2 linked regions of the Stegostoma tigrinum genome follow. The protein of the gene in region 1 purifies or fractionates together with the protein of each later gene. This does not show direct contact. Links are inferred from orthologs where the notes say so. Each region holds a gene or a part of one and is shown on either strand. Other genes may lie near its edges.

Region 1 (7,109 bases):
AAGAAGACAGAGGGTGGTAGTTGATGGGAAATGTTCATCCTGGAGACCAGTTACTAGTGGTGTACCGCAAGGGTCGGTGTTGGGTCCACTGCTGTTTGTCATTTTTATAAATGACCTGGATGAGGGCATAGAAGGATGGGTTAGTAAATTTGCATATGACACTAAGGTCGGTGGAGTTGTGGATAGTGATGAAGGATGCTGTAGGTTGCAAGAGACATAGATAAGCTGCAGAGCTGGGCTGAGAGGTGGCAAATGGAGTTTAATGCAGACAAGTGTGAGGTGATGCACTTTGGTAGGAGTAACCGGAAGGCAAAGTACAGGGCTAATGGTAAGATTCTTAGTAGTGTAGACGAGCAGAGAGATCTCGGTGTCCATGTACACAGATCCTTTTGCCACCCAGGTTGGCAGGGCTGTTAAGAAGGCATACAGTGTTTTAGCTTTTATTAATAGAGTGATTGAGTTCCAGAACCAAGAGGTTATGCTGCAACTGTACAAAACTCTGGTGCGGCCGCACTTGGAGTATTGTGTACAGTTCTGGTCACCGCATTATAAGAAGGATGTGGAAGTTTTGGAAAGGGTGCAGAGGAGATTTACTAGGATGTTGCCTGGTCTGGAGGGAAGGTCTTACGAGGAAAGGCTGAGGGACTTGAGGCTGTTTTCATTAGAGAGAAGAAGGTTGAGAGGTGACTTAATTGAAACATATAAAATAATCAGAGGGTTAGATAGGGTGGATAGGGAGAGCCTTTTTCCTAGGATGGTGATGGTGCACACGAGGGGGCATAGCTTTAAATTGAGGGGTGAAAGATATAGGACAGATGTCAGAGGTGGTTTCTTTACTCAGAGAGTAGTAAGGGAATGGAACACTTTGCCTGCAACGGTAGTAGATTTGCCAACTTTAGGTACATTTAAGTCGTCATTGGACAAGCATATGGACGTACATGGAATAGTGTAGGTTAGATGGGCTTGAGATCGGTATGACAGGCTGGCACAACATCACGGGCCGAAGGGCCTGTACTGTGCTGTAATGTTCTATGTTCTATAACTCTGGTGAGGACAAATGAGACGAGCAGCAGCATTTCTTTCAATGGTGGAACATGCCAGTTCTAGAAAGGCAAAGATTTGCTACAAGTGCCACAACTAAAGAGAGAAGAGGAAGTCTTCATTTGTTTTTATTTGGCTGCAGAGCCTGAGTGGGATATAAAGACAAGTACTTGCCCAACATCTGCAATTGTCTCCCAACAGTATAGACTAAATTCAAAAGAACATGTACAACTACCTATCGGACTCCACTCCAGTGCTTTTGATTCTCCTGAACCAGAGACACAATGCAGTGGGTACTACTGATGCAGAGCCTATACTTAGTTGATTAACATTAAGGCAAGATTCTATTTTATAACATTTTTTAGGCAATTTGCTCACCTTAAAGCATGTTTTAGAGGGCCTACAAGTGGTTAATGGATACCAGGGCATGTCAACACACTGACAGGCCGGAATGTCACATCTTTGGGGGGGCCAGGGTTCCTTGGAGATAGCCCACAGTTTAGCCAAGGGCTGCAGGTGAATAATTGTCTGGTATCTCCCACAGAACGTGACGAAGGCATATTCAGTCATGGCTTTCAACATGAAACTGAATAATTATCTACAGACCAAAAACGTGCAGGCCCATAGGGAGAAACAAACAAGACATGTGGCTAACTGTGTTGCTCTGGCAGACAGCTGACACATACATGATAGAACAAATGGCCTCCTCATGTACTGTACCCATTCTATGTTGTTACATTTTTCAGGTAATCTACACACCATAACATATGTTTGAGAATGATAAAAGTACGAAGGTGCATGATGCACAACTTGCGTGGAAATAAGGCTGGACAGGAAATGTTAAGTGGAATTCCAGAGTTGAGGGGATGGATTATGAGGAGAAACTGAAACTCTACAAAACAGAGTCTTGTATCTGGCCTTGGTGTTCTTGATGCTGTTTCATGCTCCCCCTATAGCTCCAGGAAGATCAGGGATTATACTCATTGGAATTCACAAGAATGAGGGGAGATATTATAGAAAAGTAGAAGATTATGAAAAGAATAGATATGGAGGAGGCAGGGCGGTTGTTTCATTCAGCAGGTGCAACTCAGACTAGGGGCATAGCCTCAAAATAAAGAGAAGCCGATGTAGGACTGAGGTCAGGAGATACTTCTTCACCCAAAGGATTGCGAATCTGTGGAATTCCCTGCCCAGTGAAGCAGCCTCGTTGAACGTGTTTAAGGCCAAGGCTAGATAAATTTCTGAACACTAAAGGAATTAAGGGTTATGGTGTACGGGCGGGTACGTGGACTTGAGACTCAAAAAGATCAGCCATGATCTGATTGATTGGCGAGCGGACGCTCGAGGGGCTGGGTGGCCTACCCCTGCTCCTCGTTCTTACGTTGTGTTCTTATGTAATGAGAAATACTACAGAAAAGAAACATACTGGTAAATCGACATCAGCTTCAAATGCCAGCATACGCCGTTTCCTTAGTTTTGAGACATTTGTTTACAACTTACATCAGTGTATGTTCCGGGTGCAGTTTAAATGCTACATGGGTCCACCCTCCCAACCGTAATAAAGTGACCGCCCGATCTACCGCATCCAATAGTCTCCTGGCCGCTTGAGTTTACGCAAAAATAAAGGAGGCCCAGCAAATCCTCCAAATCCTAAACAAAATCGCACTTTCACACAAACTACGCCCACAAACTGTTCCCTTTATCCCGGCTCTTGGTGCCTCACAGGCCCCAGTGCAATGGCACCCCAACTGCACAACAATTCATTTCCTCTCAGTCACAAAAGCCGTATTTCTCCAACCAGACCCCACCCCCACTCTTTGTTTCCACTCTCGCTAACATAAATAAATTAAAACGAACAGCCTCGGTGTTTTAAATAATAAGATCTGGTTTTTACCTGAGTGAGTGTAAAATGCCCCGCCATGCTGTTTCCTACACTTTAGCCCATCATGCACTGAACAAAAGTTCGTGAACTTTAACATCACAAACAAAACCTGGCACTGGATTTCGAGGTGGAATAAATTTTCTGTCGAAGTGTATCTCTCTGTGTGAATGTCTGTAAACTCACATCTCTTCGCGTGCCAAAACCAATCTCAAACCCATGCCAGTGACTAAAGAGCAAGTGCGGCCAATTGCTGGCCTGGTGATCATTTATCTCTGAATCTTTCTGACATAGCTCCACAGAGGCCGGCATGCCGTCACCTAGTCACCCTTTATTTACACAAGCCTATTATTTGCAACTAGTCCAATCCACAGAGCCAGTCTCAGAGTGAACAGAACTGATGACATTATTATCACTACATCGCTCCCCTGTAAATTCTGGGACATAGGCCTGTTTTTGCCTTGTAGCCTCTCCGTGCATTTTTGCACTGGGCCTGGTTCCTCCAACACAACCTCCGATACGGGCAACATGTACCAGACCATAGCATGCCTCTTGTGCCCGAAGCATCTTGAAAGAAATTTGTCCTTTTTTTCTAAGCAGTAAAGGTGTTGACGCTGCAACATCGACTTTGTCCATCTCCGACTGAGGTTTCTTCAATGCTGGATGGAGGAGGAAGAACCCACTGGCTTCAACAGCCTTTCTGGTTATCTGAGGGGCCAGCTATGTTTCGCCCCTGCTTCTTTTGTGAGTTTGCATCTTTCATGTGGTCCATATGTTCAGGACCACGTCACCTATCCAAACTTTCTATATCATAGATAATAAAATGTGAGGCTGGATGAACACAGCAGGCCAAGCAGCATCTCAGGAGCACAAAAGCTGACGTTTCGGGCCTAGACCCTTCATCAGAGGCTCTCTGATGAAGGGTCTTGGCCCGAAACGTCAGTTTTTGTGCTCCTGAGATGCTGCTTGGCCTGCTGTGTTCATCCAGCCTCACATTTTATCACCTTGGAATTCTCCAGCATCTGCAGTTCCCATTATCTCTTTCTATATCATAGGACCTGACTTCGTGTGGACCATGTGTCTTACCCATGCAGGGCCATTTCTGTGGTTTCAGTACCAAACTTCATCCCCTGAAGTAAACTGTCTCCCTTGCTTCACAGAGTCTTGTGTCTGGCCTTGTTGTTCTTGATGCCGTTTTATGCTTCCCCCACAGCTCCAGGAAGATCAGATTTAACCTGTTGCAGATGTTTGCTTCCCATTAGCAACTCTGTGGATATTGGCCTATGAGTTCTGTTACTTGGTTCAGAACAAGTGATGCGCTTCTGCTATCTCACATCTACATACTGGCAGCATCGACAATGGCTTGCTGGCCTCAATTTGAAGAGAATGTTAGCTGTTTGGTCGTGGTTTGCTGTGGGCTGACCTATAGTCCCCCAGTTCAGAATATGTCCTGAGTGAGGCTATACAGTTGCCTTCATTCAAGTGGTGTCCTGCAAAATGATTCAGCCTGGGAATAATGTCCACTTCTATTTGCATTTCCTGAAACTCGAAGCTCCACTTGCTGCATTTTCTAATGACAAAGCCAGCTGTAGTTCCTGTTTGAAGTCATTTGGGTTCAGCTAATCGGTGCTTTTGCATGGTTACATCATTAATCCCACGTACCAAACAGCCTCTTAGTATCTCATTAAGGGTTAGACCAATGTTACATGCCTCTGCCTTGTCACAAATCCCAGTGTGGAAGTGCCCAATTCTTGAAATGCCAAAAAAACCCGATTATGTCTTGGAATTAGAGGTAGCTTGGGATGTCAAATATTCCCTAACTAAATCCATCAACTCTTGAAAAATTTGACTATCTGGTGCCTCAGGGAAAGTTAGGGTCCTAATAACTGAAAAAGCTGCAGGTACAATAGCTGTCAGGAGAGTTACTCATGGCTTTTCATCTGCCCCAGTGTCATAGAACATAGACCAATACAGCACAGAACAGGCCCTTCAGCCCTCAATGTTGTGCCGACCTGTGAACTAATCTAAGCCCATCCCCCTACACTATCCCATCATTATTCATCTGCTTATCCAAGGACTGTTAAATGCCCCGCATGTGGCTGTTAACTACATTGGCAGGCAGGGCGTTCCACACCCTTACCACTCTCTGAATAAAGAACCTGCCTGTGGCATCTGTCTTAAATCTATCACCCCTCAATTTGTAGCTATGCCCCCTCATACAAGCTGACGTCATCATCCTCCGAAAAAGACACTCACTGTCCACCCTATCTAATCCTCTGATCATCTTGTATGTCTCTATTAAATCCCCTCTTAGTCTTCTTCTCTCCAATGAGAACAGACCCAGGTCCCTCAGCCTTTCTTCATAAGGCCTTTGCTCTAGACCAGGCAACATCCTGATAAATCTCCTCTGCGCCTTTTCCAATGCTTCCACATCCTTCCTGTAATGGGGCGACCAGAACTGCATGCAACATTCCAAGTGAGGCCGCACTAGCGTTTTGTACAGTTGCAGCATGACATCACCACTCTGGAACTCAATCCCTCGACCAATAAAACCTAACACACTGTAAGCCTTCTTAACAGCACGATCAACCTGAGTGGCAACTTTCAGCGATCTATGTACATGAACACCGAGATCCCTCTGCACGTCCACACAACCAAGAATCTTTCCATTGACCCAGTATTCTGCCTTCCTATTATTCTTCCCAAAGTTAATCACCTCACATTTATCTGCATTGAACTCCATTTGCCACCTTTCAGCCCAATTCTGTAGTTTATCCAAGTCTCCCTGCAACCTGCAATATTCTTCCACGCTGTCCACCCCTCCACCGATTTTAGTGTCATCTGCAAACTTACTAACCCAAGCACCTATGCCTGTGTCCAAGTCATTTATAAAAATCACAAATAGCAGTGATCCCAAAACAGATCCTTGAGGCACACCACTAGTAACCGGATTCCAGGCTGAATATTTTCTATGAACCACCACTTGTTGCCTTCTTGCAGAAAACCAGTTTCTAATCCAAACTGCTAAATCTCCTTCAATCCCATGCCTCCGTATTTTCTCCAATAGCCTACCATGTGGAACCTTATCAGAGGCTTTACTGAAGTCCATGTACACCACGTCAACTGCCCTACCTTCATCCACATGCTTGGTCACCTTCTCAAAAAATTCAGTGAGGTTTGTGAGACACGACCTGCCCTTTACGAATCTATGTTGACTATCTCCAATCAAATTGTTGCTTGCTAGATGATTGTAAATCCTATCTCTTATAATCCTTTCCAAAACTTTTCCTACAACAGACGTAAGGCTCACAGGTCTATAATTACCTGGGTCATCTCTACTGCCCTTCTTGAACAAGGGCACAACATTTGCAATCCTCCAGTCCTCTGGTACTAAATGAGGACTCAAAGATCAAGGCTAAAGGCTCCACCACCCTTGCTTCCCAGAGAATCCTCAGAAAAATCCCATCTGGCCCAGGTCGTTTATCTATCTTCACACTTTCTAGAATTGATAACACCTCCTCCTTACTAACCTTAATCCTTTCAATTCTAGTAGCCTGTAACTCAGTCTTCTCCTCTACAATATTCTCCTTTTCCTGAGTGAAAACAGATGAGAAATATTCATTTATGACATCTCCAATCTCCACAGGGTCCATACACAACTTCCCACTTCTGTCTTTGACTGGCCCTATTCCTACTTTAGTCATCCTCTTATTCCTCACATACCTATAGAAAGCTTTAGGGTTCTCCTTTATTCTACCTGCCAATGTCTGCTCATATCCCCTCCTTGCTCTTCTTAACTCTCTCTTTAAACCCTTCCTAGCTAATCTGTAATTCTCCATAGCCTCATCTGAGCTATCTTGTCTCATCATCACATAAGCCTCCCTCTTCCGCTTAACAAGAGATACAATTTCTTTAGTAAACCACGGTTTCCTTACCTTATCGCTTCCTCCCTGCCTGACAGGGACATACCTATCAAGGACATGCAATATCTGTTCCTTAAACCAGCTCCACATTTCGATTGTCCCCATCCCCTACATTTTGCTACCCCATTCTATGCCTCCTGAGTCTTGCCTAATCGCATTATAATTACCCTTCCCCCTTCTATAACTCTTGCCCTGTGGCATGTTCCTACCCCTTTCCATCGCTAAACTAAACATGACCAAATTATGGTCACTCTCTCCAAAGTGCT
Region 2 (7,101 bases), on another chromosome or scaffold:
CAAATTATGTTGGGTTTAACATTGTTACGATTATCATATTCTGCGAGGAAGCTTTACAATAAAGGTAAGTGTGACAAATTGTGAATTTTTCTTATTTTGTTCAACAATTTTTCCTGTAAGGCATTATTATTGTCTTTGATCTTCTATTGTGTACTGAACATATCCAATTGACACACATTATAAAATGGGTGCATTGCTTGCAAATTGATCATTTATTTATTAACTCTTGCTTATGGTGGAACTTTACTGTACCTCTTTACTCTGTATCAGTCACCCCATGAGGTGATTGATGGGTTGGGTATGCTGTTGAAACTTTGAGATCCACTAGTTCTTCCATGGGTCACTTTTCAACATTGCAAAAAAGAGATCAGATGTCAAGCTCCTTTAAGTCGTTCATTGTTCTTTTCAGGACAAAACTTTGCATAGTCTACTTGTATGTTTGTCTTTCTCTATGTTTGTCTTCTTCAATTCAATGTTATTGCTCTCGATGTAAAAATATTCATCTAACTTTGTTTATGCTTTTGTTTGCTGGTCAGACATGAAATCTTCCCCAATTTGTTTCCTCTGAAGTTGTTATTTAATGTTGACTTTCCAACAGTTCAATGCATCTGAAGGAAGATTTTGCAGGGACTAGCAATTTTCAGTGGCCTGAATAGGTTGGATACAGTGGGGTTGTTTGACTGGATGTTTAACTGAAGTGTATATACCTGAGGTGCCAAGATAGAGTGACAGGAATCCATATCCACTGGCAGCAATGTTAACATCAATAACATTGTTTAAAGTAATCTTGGAAGGATTAAAGAGGCATTACATTCTCTCCTAGATTATTGGAGGAAGAGGGTTGACCTAAGTGCTTAAAAGGATGCAGAATCCCTCATTGTCTTTAATTTAAAAAAAATACACACTTTAGCTAACCTTCAAAATGTTAGTTGAGGAACTTGGATATAGGATGAGGCCGGACCTTTTTATTAGCTGTCACATCATGCTGGATTGTCTTTGTTTCTCTAGCTGGAAAGTTTGCCCTCTTTGGGAGTGGGCTGGTAGGTTGGGAATGTAAAATCAGCTGGCAGGAGGTGAGGAATGTGCTGTGCTCAATGTTTACTTGTGCTGGCCTTTGCCTAATAATGGGGTAGGTAGGTGTTCACTGGCATCCTTGCCTTTGAGCCAACTGAGGTCCTTATATGGTCAATTCGATTGGCACTCTAGCTCACTCAAGATATAATATTGACGTATGGTTCCAAAAAGGGGTTAATGTAGACAAAAGCGATAGCTGTTTACACCTAATGTGGACTGCAACATTACGGAAATAAACATAAATGCTTATGTCGGATGACTGTGTAAATAAACACAACTGGTTATTGGTGTATTCAGAACAATTTTTTAAGTTGTCTTCAACCCTACTCATTTTTTCAGCTCTACTTACTAACACCACCTTTTCACGGCACGTACATATCTGGCGTGTGGTTTAAAGTTCGGCAGACATTCCTTCAGAATATTTTCACTTTTACTTCGCCAGTTTAAACACTTCTTTTCAACACTAAAATAATGTAGGAAAAGAAAATGTAGCTCAGATCTTTGAGATTCAGAGCTAAGATAATTTTGCGCCAGTGGACTAGAAATTAAGACCAGAAGGTGAGAAACGAGGGGGCGCAACAACACCACACTTTGCGACTGCCCACATCACATTCACGTCAAACCCAAATAATACGGCACAAACCCCTTCGTATTTATTCCAGGTAGCCTTCAAAACCAAATTTAATTACAGAGGCTAAACGTAGTTCTGGAAGGTGCAAAGCCGTTTGCTATGTATATTTGTACCTAATTATAAAAATATAAACATACACCGTACACCACACAATGAGTAACCTCCCAATATTCACCGTGCACCAGGACCAGTAACTTTCCAATATATACCTGAGCTGTGCACCAGAACCGGTAGCTCCTCGGTTAATAAAAACCGAAAGAACTGCGGATGCTGTAAATCAGGAACAAAAACAAAGTTGCTGGAAAAGCTCAGCAGCTGAGCTTTTCCAGCAGCTTTGTTTTTGCTCCTCAATTTATACCGTGCGCCACAATCAGAGATTGTCTTAGAACGGTGAGATGGATGACTTCCTTCGAGCTAAGTGATTGTTATCGCTCCTTTCCAGCAGATAATATTCCACATTGTAGGTAAACTAATCTAATCTAATCTAAAACTCTGCTTTTCGATGATCCAGAGGACCATTAAGAGGGGTTTAACATATTCCGGGCAAAGAAATAGCGATCTTAACCGTAACTAAAGCAATTACTATGTTTTTCCCTCCATAGAGATTTTATCTCCCTGCATATGTTTGATGTAATTAAGTTAACCCCCACCCCGCACCCTATTCCAGGCAGCGCGTCTGTAGAAAACATCTTTCTGGTAGCTATGCGGTGAGAGATAGTAGGAACTGCCGATGCTGGAGAATCTGAGATAACAAGGCGTAGAGCTGGATGAACACAGCAGGCGAAGCAGCATCAGAGGAGCAGGAAGGCTGACGTTTCAGGCCTGAACACATCTTCAGAAAAAAGGTACAAGCACGAAACATCAGCTTTCCTGCTCCTCTGATGCTGCTTGGTCTGCTGTGTTCATCCAGCTCTACACCTTGTTAGTTCTGGTAGCTATGGCGACTGTACAAAAAATGACCTTCCAGATTACATTCACTGCGAGCATCGCTGCTGGAGAGCTGGGCCATTCTCTCCGATTATGGGTATAACAACATGATGCAACTGAACGTTATCATTGACATGCTTTCAATAAATTACGGGCCCAATCTTGAAAAAAAATCCTGGAAAATGATAATTTTGCTTGTTTTTCTTCTTGTCATCCCAGTTTATTTGCCGGGTAGTGGAGAATCTAAAATGCCACACGCGGGCACTTTTGCATTTTGATATGTACCTCGGAATGGCCTACACAAACAAAAACAGAGCTTGTGCTCCTAAGACGCTGCTTGGCCTGCTGTGTCCATCCAGCTTCACACTTTGTTATCTCAGATTCTCCAGCATCTGCAGTTCCCATTATCTCAGTGCAGGAGAAACTCGTCAGGCCTGGTCGCATCTGTGGAGAGGAAGCAGAGTTAACGTTTCGGGCGCAGTGATCCTTCTTCCGAACGGGGAATAGCTTACACTGATTTTTTTCTAGGCCTTTGATGTTAACAATATTCTACGACATAAGATTACTTCAAATCAGCTGGCAATGTTCCAGAGTGTAATTCAAATGTTTAGGTTATTTTGTAATAATCCTTTGTAACACTATATTTCTAATGCAAAACATGCCAGTCAAAAAATGTTTTGATCACACTCGGTGAAATCAAATCAAAAGTTACTACGAATTCTACGTTTCTGTTGTAACTCCTGTGTGCTTCTGGGCAGGCTCCTTTTAGCGGAGTTCTGGCTCGAATAATACAAAAAATATCCATTGCATTTATTTTCCCAACAGTAAACAGTTAATCGCAAATCGTCCAGGATTCAGTTCATATATTGAACTACATCCCAATACAGAGCACAAGTGGATTGCTACAATATTAGGTCAACTTGCCACTCAACCTTAATAATATCTCCAAACATCAACACGTCACCAATGAGTTATTTTTTAAATAGTTTTGTCTTCTCGATAGAATAGTTGGTAAAAGACCGTCGGAAGTTTACTCTTGAAGTCACGTTATTTTGCAAAGAAAACTCCATTTATGGAAGGAGTAAAACAAAGGCACGTGCTGGAGATCTGAAGATTAAACCAGTGAAAGGTGGTAAACGGTATTGTTTAATATCAGGCCTCCGTGACTGACACTGCTGGTTCTTAACTCTCTTGAGGAGCGAGCAGTCCACGTGGACTTTAAAAGTTTGAAATTTGTTTGAAATAAGTATGGGGTTAGCGTTAACAAATATACACCAGTTGAATCACAGTGTTAATGTTAGGGAGATGCTGAGCAGCTTGCACGCTCGGGCTGTGAGATGTACTGGTAACAGTCACAATCTGTAACAGGTCCGCGGCTGCAGCATAGATAGACGACTAACAGCCGGGGGCTACCGCTGTGCAAGGAGCGGTGGGGTAGAGGGGACCGAAGCCTGCCGGTTCCCTGAAACTTTCAGAGGAGGTCATCGCAAGCCGTGACGTCACGAGTCAGGTGACTCAAAACTTTTTTTGAGCTAAAAGCCCTTTAAATCGGGCAGCGGACAGTGTACAGGCTAGAGACAGGTTACTCTTTCACCTAGAAGCGGTGCAACATTCAGCCGATTAGTTTTACTGCTCCCGAGCTGAACAATTCGAAGCCTCGTCCACATTTTCTTCCGACACTTTGTTGGGTAAGTTGCACAGCTTGCTTCTCACTGCATCTGTCTCAGAGAGAGAGAGAGAGAGAGAAAACCAAGTTTCCGAGAGTTCACATTCACTTTTCGGCTGGTGAAAGTAACTCTCTTCCACCGTATCGTGCGTTTTAAAGTGATGTTGTTCTTTCGAGGGATTAATAGTTTCAAAACTGCCCTGCACTGTTGATCTTAAAGGATTGTTCGGGAACATTTAAGAGATGAATGGAATACACTCCAACTGTTTTAGATCCCACATGCAGAGGAATATATAATCACTAATTTTCCAAAGACTTGAATTTACAAAACTTGCCCAGAATCTAACTTGTCCCAGCGTTCAAGAGCAGGAAAAAGAAACGGATATTACTGTTCATTAACTAATTCCTCTTTACCTTCAAACATTTAGCCTGATCTAGCCGCATCTTTTACGTGCACTGATTTCTTAAAGTCACTATGAGTTGGAGTAAGTTCTAGGCGATGTTAAAAACGCGGCTTTTTCGACTTAAACCTTACGTTTTCCGTCCAAAGTGACCAACCGTCTTCGAGGTTAGTTTAGAAATATTAGCTAGCAGTCTTATTCACACAACCAGCCCCACGTCCCCGTGCTTCCTACCTCTTGGGGTGGGGGGAAGCAAAGTTCGGAGAGATGAAGTGTACTGTTGAGCAGTTGAGCTGAAGTGAAGAGAAACTTCTCCGGGTTCCCGTTGGCAGGTGCCCTTGTCCAGTGAAGCATATACCTTCAGACAGGACAGAGTTTGTGATGTAGCGTCCCTGGACCCCCCCCCCCCCCCCCGCCCCAGGACAGGAGACCCGCGTAAAGCCCTACACCCGTTGCCCCAGCCATGCATGGTAACGTACATAGGCTAGTTAACAGAATTGGCGTATTTTGTGGCGCTGTGGTACAGTCTAAGGACCAAATTTGACTCAGAAACCAACTTTGCAACAACTTATACAACTTTTAAAGCAATGGAAAAACCCAGTGCAATTCCCGGGAGCTATATAAAGGGAGGTGACCCGGGTTCCAAGTCTCACCATCCTACAGAGAGGCGTATAGCACCATCCCTGAACAGGTCGATTGGGAAATTATCTACGTCCAGTCAAGCAAATATGTGTGTTACTTGTGAGTTTGTGGAATCCTAATTACATTAATACGATCGCAAACAACAGACTACTTTTCTAGTTACCTGTGTGATTAACAGTTGTATTATCTACCATTCAGTATACGGATAAGGGCACGTTAATGACTATCACGTTAGAATCGAGCCAGCGCAAATTTCATTTTAGATCCATTACAGAGTGAAACGGCTGGGAATCAAGGACTGAGAGGGATTTTACCCATCACTAGATGCAAATTGTAAAACTTAGCAATGAAGTTGGAGAAAAGATACATCAGTTAAGCACGCATTTTGATATGAAGTCAAATATGCCACCCCTTTTAAAAAGAAGTGCCCATGTACAGTGCGGAGCTGGACGAACACAGCAGATCAGGCAGCGCTGGAGAAGCGAGAAAGTCTAAGTCAGATGAGGAGTCCCAATCCGAAACATTGACTTTTCTGCTCCTCTGAAGCTGCCTGACCTGCTGTGTTCCTCCAGCTCCGCACTGTATCGACTCTGAATCCATCATCTCCTTTAAAAAAAATTACATCTCTTTTGGAGAACGGTTCATGAAAGAAGCCAAAAATGACTTTAAGAAGGATCGTGTTCACCGAAATGCTCTAGAAATGACACACTCTGTACATGATGAGGTGGCTTGTTCGCGAAAGGTGGTTTTGAATAAACCTGAAGCAATATTTAGTTCAGACATCACAGACTGCAAACTCCGGAGCAGGAGAAATCACCGAGTTACAAGTTCAAACGAAAAGTTTCCAATGAATGTAGACATCAAAATAAAACAACTCTTCAAACTCTATGCTGCTTTGATTTCTTTTTCCCAAGGACTAGATTGTCTCCTAAAATATAAAATTTGGCTTAGAAACCAACTTCACAGCAATTTGTATAGCTTTTCAACACAATAGAAATACTCAGTGCAACTCACGGAGCTTTGTAAAAAAAACACGAAACGTGACACCAAGTCACATAAAGAGATGCTTTGTGAAAGAAGTTACTTTTAAGAAGCACCTTTCCTCTTGTAAAGTGTAGAGGTGAAGGGTGGGTATTCGAAATTTAGGGATTAAATAGAGAAAAGCACAGCCACTTATGATGGGACAATTAAGGAAGGGGTATACAAAAGGTGAGATCTAAAGGAGTGCAGATATCTTGATGGATTCTTCGACTAGGGACCATTGAAGCAACAGGAAAGAGTGAGAGTATGGAGGGATATGAAACTAAGGGGTGAACATCTTAAAATGAAGATGTTGTTTGACTGGGTGCCAATGTGGTACAGTGAGCACAGAGGTAATAGGGAAATGAACCTTGGGAGATCAGCCAAGGGTACATTAAGATTATTAAATTCAGACATAACACAACTGAGGGCTCCAGCAGCAGATGAACTGCCATGGATGAAGTTGGGTGATTTTACAGCAGTGGGAAAAGATAATCTTCAAATTGCCATAATAAGGTAGAATCTCATATCAGGATCAAATCTGATGCTAACACTGTGAACATATTGGCTTAATCCCAGACTGTTGCTATCATTACCAGGGAAAGGGATAGAGTCAGTTGTTAGGGTATAAAGTTTGCAGAGGGGATTAAAAACAACTTTTAGTCTTCCCAGTTTTTAATTAGAGGAAACCCTCTGCTCATTACAGCTAATGTTAAGCAGTCTTATAATATAGCAACAAT

Evidence for each region. The genes of interacting proteins can lie anywhere in the genome.
Region 2: the proteins of eps15 (region 1) and gja1b purify together in Homo sapiens (affinity purification with western blotting; 3 studies listed by BioGRID). This does not show direct contact. The link is inferred for Stegostoma tigrinum from reciprocal best matches to the Homo sapiens genes EPS15 and GJA1.

Annotation. Positions count from the first base shown.
Region 1 is NC_081361.1:63,483,846-63,490,954, forward strand, and holds the start of eps15 (epidermal growth factor receptor substrate 15), read right to left. Parts: upstream 3,023-7,109; 5' UTR 2,963-3,022; coding exon 2,936-2,962; intron 1-2,935. UniProt on the Homo sapiens protein: Involved in cell growth regulation. May be involved in the regulation of mitogenic signals and control of cell proliferation. Involved in the internalization of ligand-inducible receptors of the receptor tyrosine kinase (RTK) type, in particular EGFR.
Region 2 is NC_081357.1:64,036,861-64,043,961, forward strand, and holds the start of gja1b (gap junction alpha-1 protein), read left to right. Parts: upstream 1-4,088; 5' UTR 4,089-4,320; intron 4,321-7,101. UniProt on the Homo sapiens protein: Gap junction protein that acts as a regulator of bladder capacity. A gap junction consists of a cluster of closely packed pairs of transmembrane channels, the connexons, through which materials of low MW diffuse from one cell to a neighboring cell.